Linked DNA regions of Drosophila melanogaster. Changing the gene in region 1 together with any one later gene gives a genetic interaction. Each region holds a gene or a part of one and is shown in the gene's direction. Other genes may lie near its edges.

Region 1 (4,857 bases):
CCGCTTCACTTAGTCCCTCCTGGGATCTGCATTTCAGTGCGTAAATGGAGCAGGTGCCGCAGCTCAAACAAATCAGCAGGAAAATCAACTGTTTCATCTTGGGAACTGAATGGAGGAGCAGCTATGCCCACATCATTTATAGTTCTGGAGAATGGCATCCAAATTACAGAGTGACTGACGCACAATGAACCAAGACACATATCAATCTTAATTTTACAATTGCGTGCAATGCTCTTCGATGATTATATTTTACAATAAAGGTTATTTTAAAAGTTTATGAAAACATGTTAAATTGAACCCCACTTCCAGATGCAACTACAGCTGGAGCAGATCACCTCCAGAGGTGAAGCTCGATTGGAGAAGCTGTGGCAGGAGTATCAGGGTGTTCTGGCGGGCTACTGTCAGCACATCGAAGGCTTTTACTCGGAGTACGTGGATCTGAAGCAGCGGGATGAGGAGGCAGCCCTCCAGATTAGCCAGCAGACCCACGAAATCGAGCACCTGGTAGACCAGCTGACCAATTTGCGTCTGGTCTCCGAGGAGTTCTACATCAAGCAACAGGGCCAACTGGAGCAGCGGCAAGCCATCAAACAGCAGTTGACCGAGCGACTAAGGGAGCTACGCACCTGTGTGGAACAGGAGGTGGCCAGGGATCACCAGTTGTTCAAGCTGATGTCCGTGGAGAGCTACCATGCCTTGGAATTCCTCCAGGAAACTGTGGCCAAGGGCGAGACTCTGGCACAGTTGTCTGCGGTCTGTGCCAAGATGGAAACCCAGCGGGAGCGGATGTTCCAGTTGCCGGAAATATCCAAGGAGATTATCGAGATTCGAGATATAGAGGATCAGGGTAATGGTTCCTTGACTGACCCAGCCACTGATCTTCTTAAGGTGAGTAAAAATGCCAGTAGGTAATTTCTTCATTCAACATTGGTTTAACGTACCAGGACGAGGTGGCAGTGGTACCCCAAATGGAGTCCTTCTGGCGACGCGTCAACAACGTGGCCGTGGACGTGGCCTGCCTGAAGCAACAGAAGCGTCGCCTGGAGGCGGAGAACAGCCAGCTAAAGACGCAGCTGCAGGACTACCTGGTAAATTTGAACATTGCCAATGGCTCCAATAGCCACGTCCATAGCTATCTAGCCCGGCGGCCCAAGAGCATGTCCGTGGACAGAGTGTCGCGCCTGCAGCTCCAGCCCAAGCTGGTGAAGAGTGCCCAGCCGACTGGTCGTCGCCCAGCGGCGCCCACACCTCCCACTTTCCACTTGCATCCAGGACGCAGCCGAGCGCCTGCCTTCGAAGCCAACCTCTCCAACGTGGTTCTTTCGAGGACTTTGGCTAGGGGAAAGATGAACCTGGCCAGAATGGAATAATTTGCTAGACTCTGTAGTTATTTGATTAATGCAGGGAAACTATATTAAACAAAACACCTTAAATTGGTGTAGGAACTATTCTCTACCATAACAATTATCTATATATTTTTATAGTATTTTACAGTTGGTTCTACCGTGAACATGAATATTAATATATACGTATTTAAGCAATCACACACAAATTATATAGATATTCTGAATAAAACGGAATTTTTTAATAAACCATTCAACATCACAATACATACATTAATTTAAATATTTACATTTTATTAATATCTTAAAACATAGTTGGTATATCTTTCGATTTCAATTTCAATACAATAGAAATCAATTAAAGATTCAAATAGTTACTTTACGCGGCGCTACCAGATCAACTGATAAATATGTCCTCTGGTATTTTCGAGTATTCCTTTTCGGTACACCCCAAAATATATCGATATATCGATTCCGGGCGTTGCGCTCTCAAATTTCCACAGACACGACCCACGTCCAATTGTGAGTTTTCGCTGCGCCGTGAATCGCACTAAAGAGCAGGAAAATAGTTAATTTCCAACAGTTAAATTGGAGTAAGTTTGCACCCAAGAAAGTACGATCCAACCGCGAAGCTTCCATTTGAAGTAGATACTCGTTTTCGGATATTACAAAGTGCAGCTGCTGCGGATGTAAAGCAAATATTACAAGGAGTTATAGATACAACACTCTGTTATAGATATAGATACAACAACAACGGGGGGAAGTCCCAGGAACGGCAGGCGGTGCGAGCGAGAGGCAGCTAGAACGGCAGTGTGTGCGAGTGAGAGGGGTGGCGGGGCAGTTCTTGTTCTTGTAATTTTACCAAAAAGAAATTTCGTTCGGGAAATGTGGAAAATGTGCGCGAGGAGAGATGATGGAGAAAACAACCCCGAAAAGCGAGCAATCGTCGAATAAATACCAACAAAAACTTACACTGCGCGGCTGATTAATAAAATCCAAAAAATAAAAAGGAAAATAAAAACCAAATCAGCGAACGATACAAAAAAAGCGTTAGAAAGAAAGTGTGAGAACGTGAAATCAAAACTCCGAATCAGAATTTGGATTGTAAATTTTCGGGTCGGTGCGACTGAGACTGAGCGATAAACACAAAGGCAGATAAATACGGAAATAAAATTAATGGAAAACCAGCATAGACACATGTGTGTGGGTGTGTGAGTGTCCAAGTGTGCGTGAGTGTGTGCGTGTGTGTGTGCTTATCGCATGGAAATGCAAGCGTAAGTGGAGCAGGCGAGAAATAATTTCGAGTTTTTGGACAGATAAAAAGCAAAAAGCAAGTAAAGCCCATAAATGCCTAGCCATAATGCCGCCACGCCTACATATGTAACAGCTGCCCACATTTAGTTAACCCACATACTATCACCTATCATGCATCGCAGGACCCAAAAACAACGCCAAAATGATCGCCGCTGCATTGGGTCATCTGTAGAGTCGTCATTGCAACAGCACCAACACCATAAAATGCATCCCATGCATCCCGAAAACCACGCCATCGCCCGGAGCACGAGCACCACTAATAACCCATCTCGCAGTCGGAGCAGCAGGATGTGGCTCCTGCCCGCCTGGCTGCTCCTCGTCCTGGTGGCCAGCAATGGCCTGCCAGCAGTCAGAGGTAAACCCATCCTGGGTAATCCTCCCCAGGCCCAGTGGCTAATCCACATCCTTCCTACTCCTTTCAGGCCAGTACCAATCGCCACGTATCATCGAGCATCCCACGGATCTGGTCGTTAAGAAGAATGAACCCGCCACGCTCAACTGCAAAGTGGAGGGCAAGCCGGAACCCACCATTGAGTGGTTTAAGGTACCCACCAAATAATACTTTTCTAACTTGAATCACCATTACACTGGCAAAAGAAAACTTGATCTTAATGTTTTCATATCAATATTGTATATTTATTTATCTTTAAATATCAAAACAAAAATGAATTCAAAAATTATACAAAATATAAGTGGTTTTGAGTAGTTGTTTTTTTCCGTGTAGCCTTCGAAACCGAACCAAATCGTAACTCAATCACCCCCTCTTCTTTCCGCTCTCAGGATGGCGAACCCGTCAGCACCAACGAAAAGAAATCGCACCGCGTCCAGTTCAAGGACGGCGCCCTCTTCTTCTACAGGACAATGCAGGGCAAGAAGGAACAGGACGGCGGAGAGTACTGGTGCGTGGCCAAGAACCGAGTGGGCCAGGCCGTTAGTCGCCATGCCTCGCTCCAGATAGCTGGTAAGTTAGTCCGCCACTCTAGTCTGCTCTCCAACTTGTCTGCCCACACGCCCAGCTTTGTCTCCGATTATAATGTGCTTTTTTGATATTTTTGCAATTTTTCTTCGCTAGTTTTGCGCGACGATTTTCGCGTGGAGCCCAAAGACACGCGAGTGGCCAAAGGCGAGACGGCTCTGCTGGAGTGTGGGCCGCCCAAAGGCATTCCAGAGCCAACGCTGATTTGGATAAAGGTGGGTTCCGAAAACCAGACTGCGAAAGTCAGTTGTCTAAACCGCTTTTTGTGCTCTTAGGACGGCGTTCCCTTGGACGACCTGAAAGCCATGTCGTTTGGCGCCAGCTCCCGCGTTCGAATTGTGGACGGTGGCAACCTGCTGATCAGCAATGTGGAGCCCATTGATGAGGGCAACTACAAGTGCATTGCCCAGAATCTGGTAGGCACCCGCGAGAGCAGCTATGCCAAGCTGATTGTCCAGGTCAAACCATACTTTATGAAGGAGCCCAAGGATCAGGTGATGCTCTACGGCCAGACAGCCACTTTCCACTGCTCAGTGGGCGGTGATCCGCCGCCGAAAGTGTTGTGGAAAAAGGAGGAGGGCAATATTCCGGTGTCCAGAGCGCGAATCCTTCACGACGAGAAAAGTTTAGAGATATCCAACATAACGCCCACCGATGAGGGCACCTATGTCTGCGAGGCACACAACAATGTCGGTCAGATCAGCGCTAGGGCTTCTCTTATAGTCCATGGTAAGATTAAGTTCCATTACCAAAGAATCGCGTTTTAATCTTCAATTGTTTTCATTAAAGCTCCGCCGAACTTTACGAAAAGACCCAGTAACAAGAAAGTGGGACTAAATGGTGTTGTCCAACTACCTTGCATGGCCTCCGGAAACCCACCGCCATCTGTTTTCTGGACCAAGGAAGGAGTATCCACTCTCATGTTCCCAAATAGTTCGCACGGGAGGCAGCATGTGGCTGCCGATGGAACTCTGCAGATTACGGATGTGCGGCAGGAAGACGAAGGCTACTATGTGTGTTCCGCTTTCAGTGTAGTCGATTCCTCTACAGTACGGGTTTTCCTGCAAGTCAGCTCGTTAGACGAGCGTCCACCTCCGATTATTCAAATCGGACCTGCCAATCAAACACTGCCCAAGGGATCAGTTGCTACTTTACCCTGTCGGGCCACCGGAAATCCCAGTCCCCGTATTAAGTGGTTCCACGATGGACATGCCGTACAAGCGG
Region 2 (4,626 bases), on another chromosome or scaffold:
CGCCCGACGCAGTCCCTCCACTGCCGACGCCGGCAGAGCTGCGCCGACTGCCGAGCCAGCTGATTTTTGTGGCAGAGCCGAGGTGCCGTGGAATGGGGATTTTCCCGAAAAGTAACGGCTCTTTCGGGAAAAACCGTTTTCCGTATTGATTTCGGGGGGCGCTGCATGTGAGCTTCCCATAAACCAAATATGCATTCTAAAACGCCCGATGAAAGGAGTAGTTAGCTGCAGTTGGAACGAAGGAGTGGGGAGGGGAATCGAATGAAAAGAAGAAGAAAACAAGTTCTGGGCGCACAGTGGGGCAAGCTTAGAACTGTAGTGACCACTGTGCGGCAGCAGTTGAGCTTCTAGTTTGCAGTAAACGCTTCGGTCTCTCTCTCTCTCTCTCTCGCTCACGCAGGAAACCTGTTTTCGAGAATCGTTTTTTATAGCTTTTGCCACTTGCCACCAGACCAGGCCAAAATAAAAAAAAAATAAACAAAAAGTATTTCACAAGTTTTGTTTGCTTGCTTCTTTGCTGTTTGTGTTGTTGTGGTTGTTGCTGCGCTTGCTAGTTGTTTCGCTTCTGTTTATCATTTACTGTTGTTGCCACCGTTTGGCGTTTACCTTTTGCACAATCTTCGTTTACATGAAAGCGGCGACGACACGCGACCAAAGGCACACACACATTCGCACCTACACCCACACACGGACGGGGAACGCGGACAGACACACGGATACGTGAACGCAGACACGAGGTAACGGTAACGGACAGAGAAAGCGAGCACGTCCACCCGCAGCAACACTCGATGAGCATCTGACGAAGTGTTGCCAGGTGACACAACTCAGAGCGTCTTAACGAGTTTATCACTAAAAAATCCGAGCATGTTAATAATGAGCGCGCGATTCAAAATGGTTGTATTTTAACGTATACTCAAATTATCACAGTAAGCGATAGGCAAATTTAAATCAGTAGATAACCATAGCAAATGGCCCTATCCAGCTTATTAGCATAGCAACAAAACAAGCTTCTGATGTAAACAGCTTATTTGTTAAATATATCAAATTTCTAATAGTTTTCATTATAAATCTAAAATATCAAATGTGGCAACACTGGTTCCATATGATAAAGGTTGCCACCAGGCGTAAAAATATTTTCGTTGAAGTGGACGAGGGCTGCAAAATAAAGTAATTTTGGCGCCTTTTTTGAATTTAAGTGTTCAAAAAAAAATTTATGTAAATGAACGAAGAAGTACACAAGCTCACAAAACAAAATGATTTTAATTTTAATTCAATTAAACAAATTCTCTTTAGAGTTTAAAATATTATTTTGCAATAGCTTAATTTAAATAACATAAATAACATTTGTATTTGCTGTATACCTTATGCGTAAGTATCAATAATGTTTAAATATGTTTAATTAGCTGAAAAGTAAGTGCTGTTGCCTAAATAAGTTTTATTTAATGAATCTAACTATTATTAATATACTATAGTGAATACGATGAGTCATTGTATCATCTCTCGTCAATATCAGTATTAACGCACACGAAAACTAACGCATTAGAAAGATTATCTCTTTTTATGATACTGGTCACTCTAAGACTGAAGTACATTTGTATATGTGGTGAGAAATCGGGTAGTTTAAAAAAAACCACCAAGCGAGTTGGACGCGTAACTCTTTGTAACGGATCTCGGAACGCCGTGGGAGTCGGAAAATCGCTGGACGCGTGTTCGTGCGTTTGCATGTGTGCGTGCGTTCGTGTGTGTGTGTGTGCTAATGTGCGAGCGGGTGAGCGAATAAAAATAAATATATATCGTCAAGTCAGGCTTAAGAAATGTGCGCTAATCAAAGAAAATGCCCCCAATTCTGGCCAATTGAGAATTGTGGCTAAACAAAAAATTCGACCGGAGTTCAAGTGAGTGCCAATTGCGGAGACAAAATGGCTGCATTTCAACGCATTTAATTTACTGGCAACACATAGCAAACGAGAGTGAGAGAGAGAAATGTAGAGAGGCAATCCGAGAAGCAACATAAAAGAGAGAGCATGAAAGAAGTACAAGACGAGGCACACGAAAATAAGTAAACATGCAAAAACATTGTTAAATTAGCCCTATTGCGAAGTTAAACTACACATAATACTATTCACGAAAACATTTTTCTGTTTAATTATTTTGAAACAGCATTGTAAACAAATCGATTTGTTGTTCTTTTGTGCCAGCAACAACAAGCGTTTTAAAAGCAACAATAATTAATTTAATGCATTTTGTTGCGTTTGCGCCGCAGCTGTCGCTCTCTCCTTTTCCGTCTTCCGTCGCTCTTTGTCGTCTCTGTTGCATCTCCCTCTCTTGCTCTCCTCTCCGCGCTTGCTCATTGCCTCTGTGTGAGTGCAAAGGCCAATAGCTGTTTTTGTTGTGATTTTATGTTTGTTTGTATTGCTAATGTTTTGGTTTTCCAACTATTCATAAACTTATTAAACAAGAAAAAACGCATACCGAACTTATGAATATAGCGTAAATAGTAAAAAACATAATTATAAAAAAAACAATAAAACAAATAAAATTGCCTATTTTTATATTTAAATAGTATATTTTTAATAATATTAAATCAATCAAAATGTCTCGCTCTTCTGCCTTCAGAAATAAACAATCCAGTGAATAAACACACAAAATCAATCAAAAAAGAAGATTTTTCTTTTTTATTTTCGCTTTTAATTTATTAACGAGAAAATATTGGAATAAAACAAAAATAAAAATATAAGAAAAGTGTACGTGACAAGAGCTCGAAAAGAAGTTGCAACAAATAGCAAAAATAATTCGTGCGTGCGAAAAAGTGCTGCGAAGTTTTATGGCCCATGCAAAAAGTGCTAAATTTGTAAATGGCATGGAAAGTGCAAAGCTCTGATTAAAAAACCCGCGAAGATTGGAGTGCGAGGTGCCGCCCAATAACGCAACCAACTACTGCCACAAGGAAATTATTAAGACCAATCAACGACCTTCGCGGAAATAAAAAAAATAAAAAATAAAACAAAAGCAAGCAGAAATTTGGTGCTAGTTCTGTTTAGTCGACAGCCATCCACGTTGGATCCCCATCGCAAATAATGTCATCAAAATGTGCTTTCAACATTGTATTCGTATCGATCATTTTCATCATCATCGTAAATGGTAAGTTCGAAAAACTAACATTGATTAACAATGTAATCTAAATGGTTTCCGTTCCTATTTCATATAATTTTTTAAATATTTTAATTTAAAAATACATAAAGCATTGGTGTTTTTTTTCTGCACTTGACTCACTGGCAACCGAAGAAACCACAACAATCGGGGCTTAAAATGAAATACAGCCGAGGGTGCTGCAAATGACGCATAGACAATAACATTGGAATAAGTGCTCAATCAGGCGGAAACAAAGTTAACATTTTCACCCAGAACCCTTCGAGCAACAAAAATAATTACGTACTTTGCCAGGATAATTGACGAGTGAAGGATATTAGGGGGAAGGGGAAGGGTATCGTTTTGAGGGTGGAACACAGAGGGTTTCTTATAATTTTAGTAGACACTTTGGGTAATTGTCTTTGGGTTTTCTCGCCTCCCTAACTATGCTGTGGGTGTATTTTGTTATTAAACAAATGGGGTTGCTTTGCATAATTAATTTAATTTCGCTATTGTCACTCCAAGCGAATTGACAGAATGATTTTCTTGTGACCCAGAGTGTTTGCTTTCAGCAATATTCTCACTTGCAGGTGCCAAGGTTTCAAACTCAACCGACTCTAATAACAATCTATATAGCCGTGAATGTACTTTTTTTACACTTAAGTTAGCTACTCATATATGTATGTATGTTCATGTAAATATACAAATTCAGATTCTACCTATTTATTTCCACAAAGCAAGTCCATTGTTGGGGCAAAAAGAGCGAAGAAGGCGAAAAGCATAAGGTATAACGTGAGTCATGAAAACCTGAGTAAAGCTCAGGGGACTCATCCATTTTTATTGTGAAATCGTTAGCTTGGGTTTAACAAAAGGGGACTTACAAAATTTTAAAACTATATACTTCGGTATGAAACACACAGTAGGAATGAAACATTTAGCTTATACATCTACATATATAAATATATATATCAGAGTTGTGCTACTTAATTTATGAATATATTGTGTTTTGTGATAAAAAAAATGTCGTTACTGCATTGAAGACCGTTTTTTCGCCACTTCAACTAATTTGTTTGCATGGCAAGATTTTCCTAAGTTCAACGTTACGAAATTCGAGGCGGGGCGAGGGATCATGACAACAACTTCCACTCTTGGCTAATTAGCCAAAGTCAAGCAACATGAACATGGGTAAAAGAGTGAGGATTGAGGGCCAAGAATCAAGCCAAGAAGAGTGGCGGAGGCAAAAACTGGTTTATCCACTTGGCCGGCTAATCTGACAACAAAGAAAGAGAGCAGACATAAGAACCGAGAACCCAGAAGCGAGGCGAATAGAAAAGGCCAGAGACAAACAAAAAATCTGCGAAAAAGGTCAATGTCTCGGCATTATCTGTCTGGGCTGCACAAACCATATTATAATGATTAAAAATGAAAAAATTATAAAAAAATATATATATATATATATGCAACAGCTATCGGAGAAGAGTTTTTCTCCCACAAATA

Evidence for each region.
Region 2: of robo1 (region 1) and kuz, changing one enhances a phenotype caused by changing the other (phenotypic enhancement), as found in Drosophila melanogaster (one study listed by BioGRID).

The regions. Positions count from the first base shown.
Region 1 is NT_033778.4:22,697,957-22,702,813, reverse strand, and holds the start of robo1 (roundabout 1), read left to right. Parts: upstream 1-1,843; 5' UTR 1,844-1,936; intron 1,937-2,218; exon of another isoform or gene 2,219-2,617; intron 2,618-2,779; 5' UTR 2,780-2,861; coding exon 2,862-3,012; intron 3,013-3,079; coding exon 3,080-3,201; intron 3,202-3,437; coding exon 3,438-3,618; intron 3,619-3,729; coding exon 3,730-3,848; intron 3,849-3,908; coding exon 3,909-4,362; intron 4,363-4,422; coding exon 4,423-4,857. Other genes in the region: Obp59a (Odorant-binding protein 59a), read right to left, coding at 1-97; CG30259 (uncharacterized protein), read left to right, coding at 310-888, 945-1,370.
Region 2 is NT_033779.5:13,548,526-13,553,151, forward strand, and holds the start of kuz (kuzbanian), read left to right. Parts: upstream 1-1,613; 5' UTR 1,614-1,768; exon of another isoform or gene 1,769-1,895; intron 1,896-2,616; 5' UTR 2,617-3,077; coding exon 3,078-3,141; intron 3,142-4,626.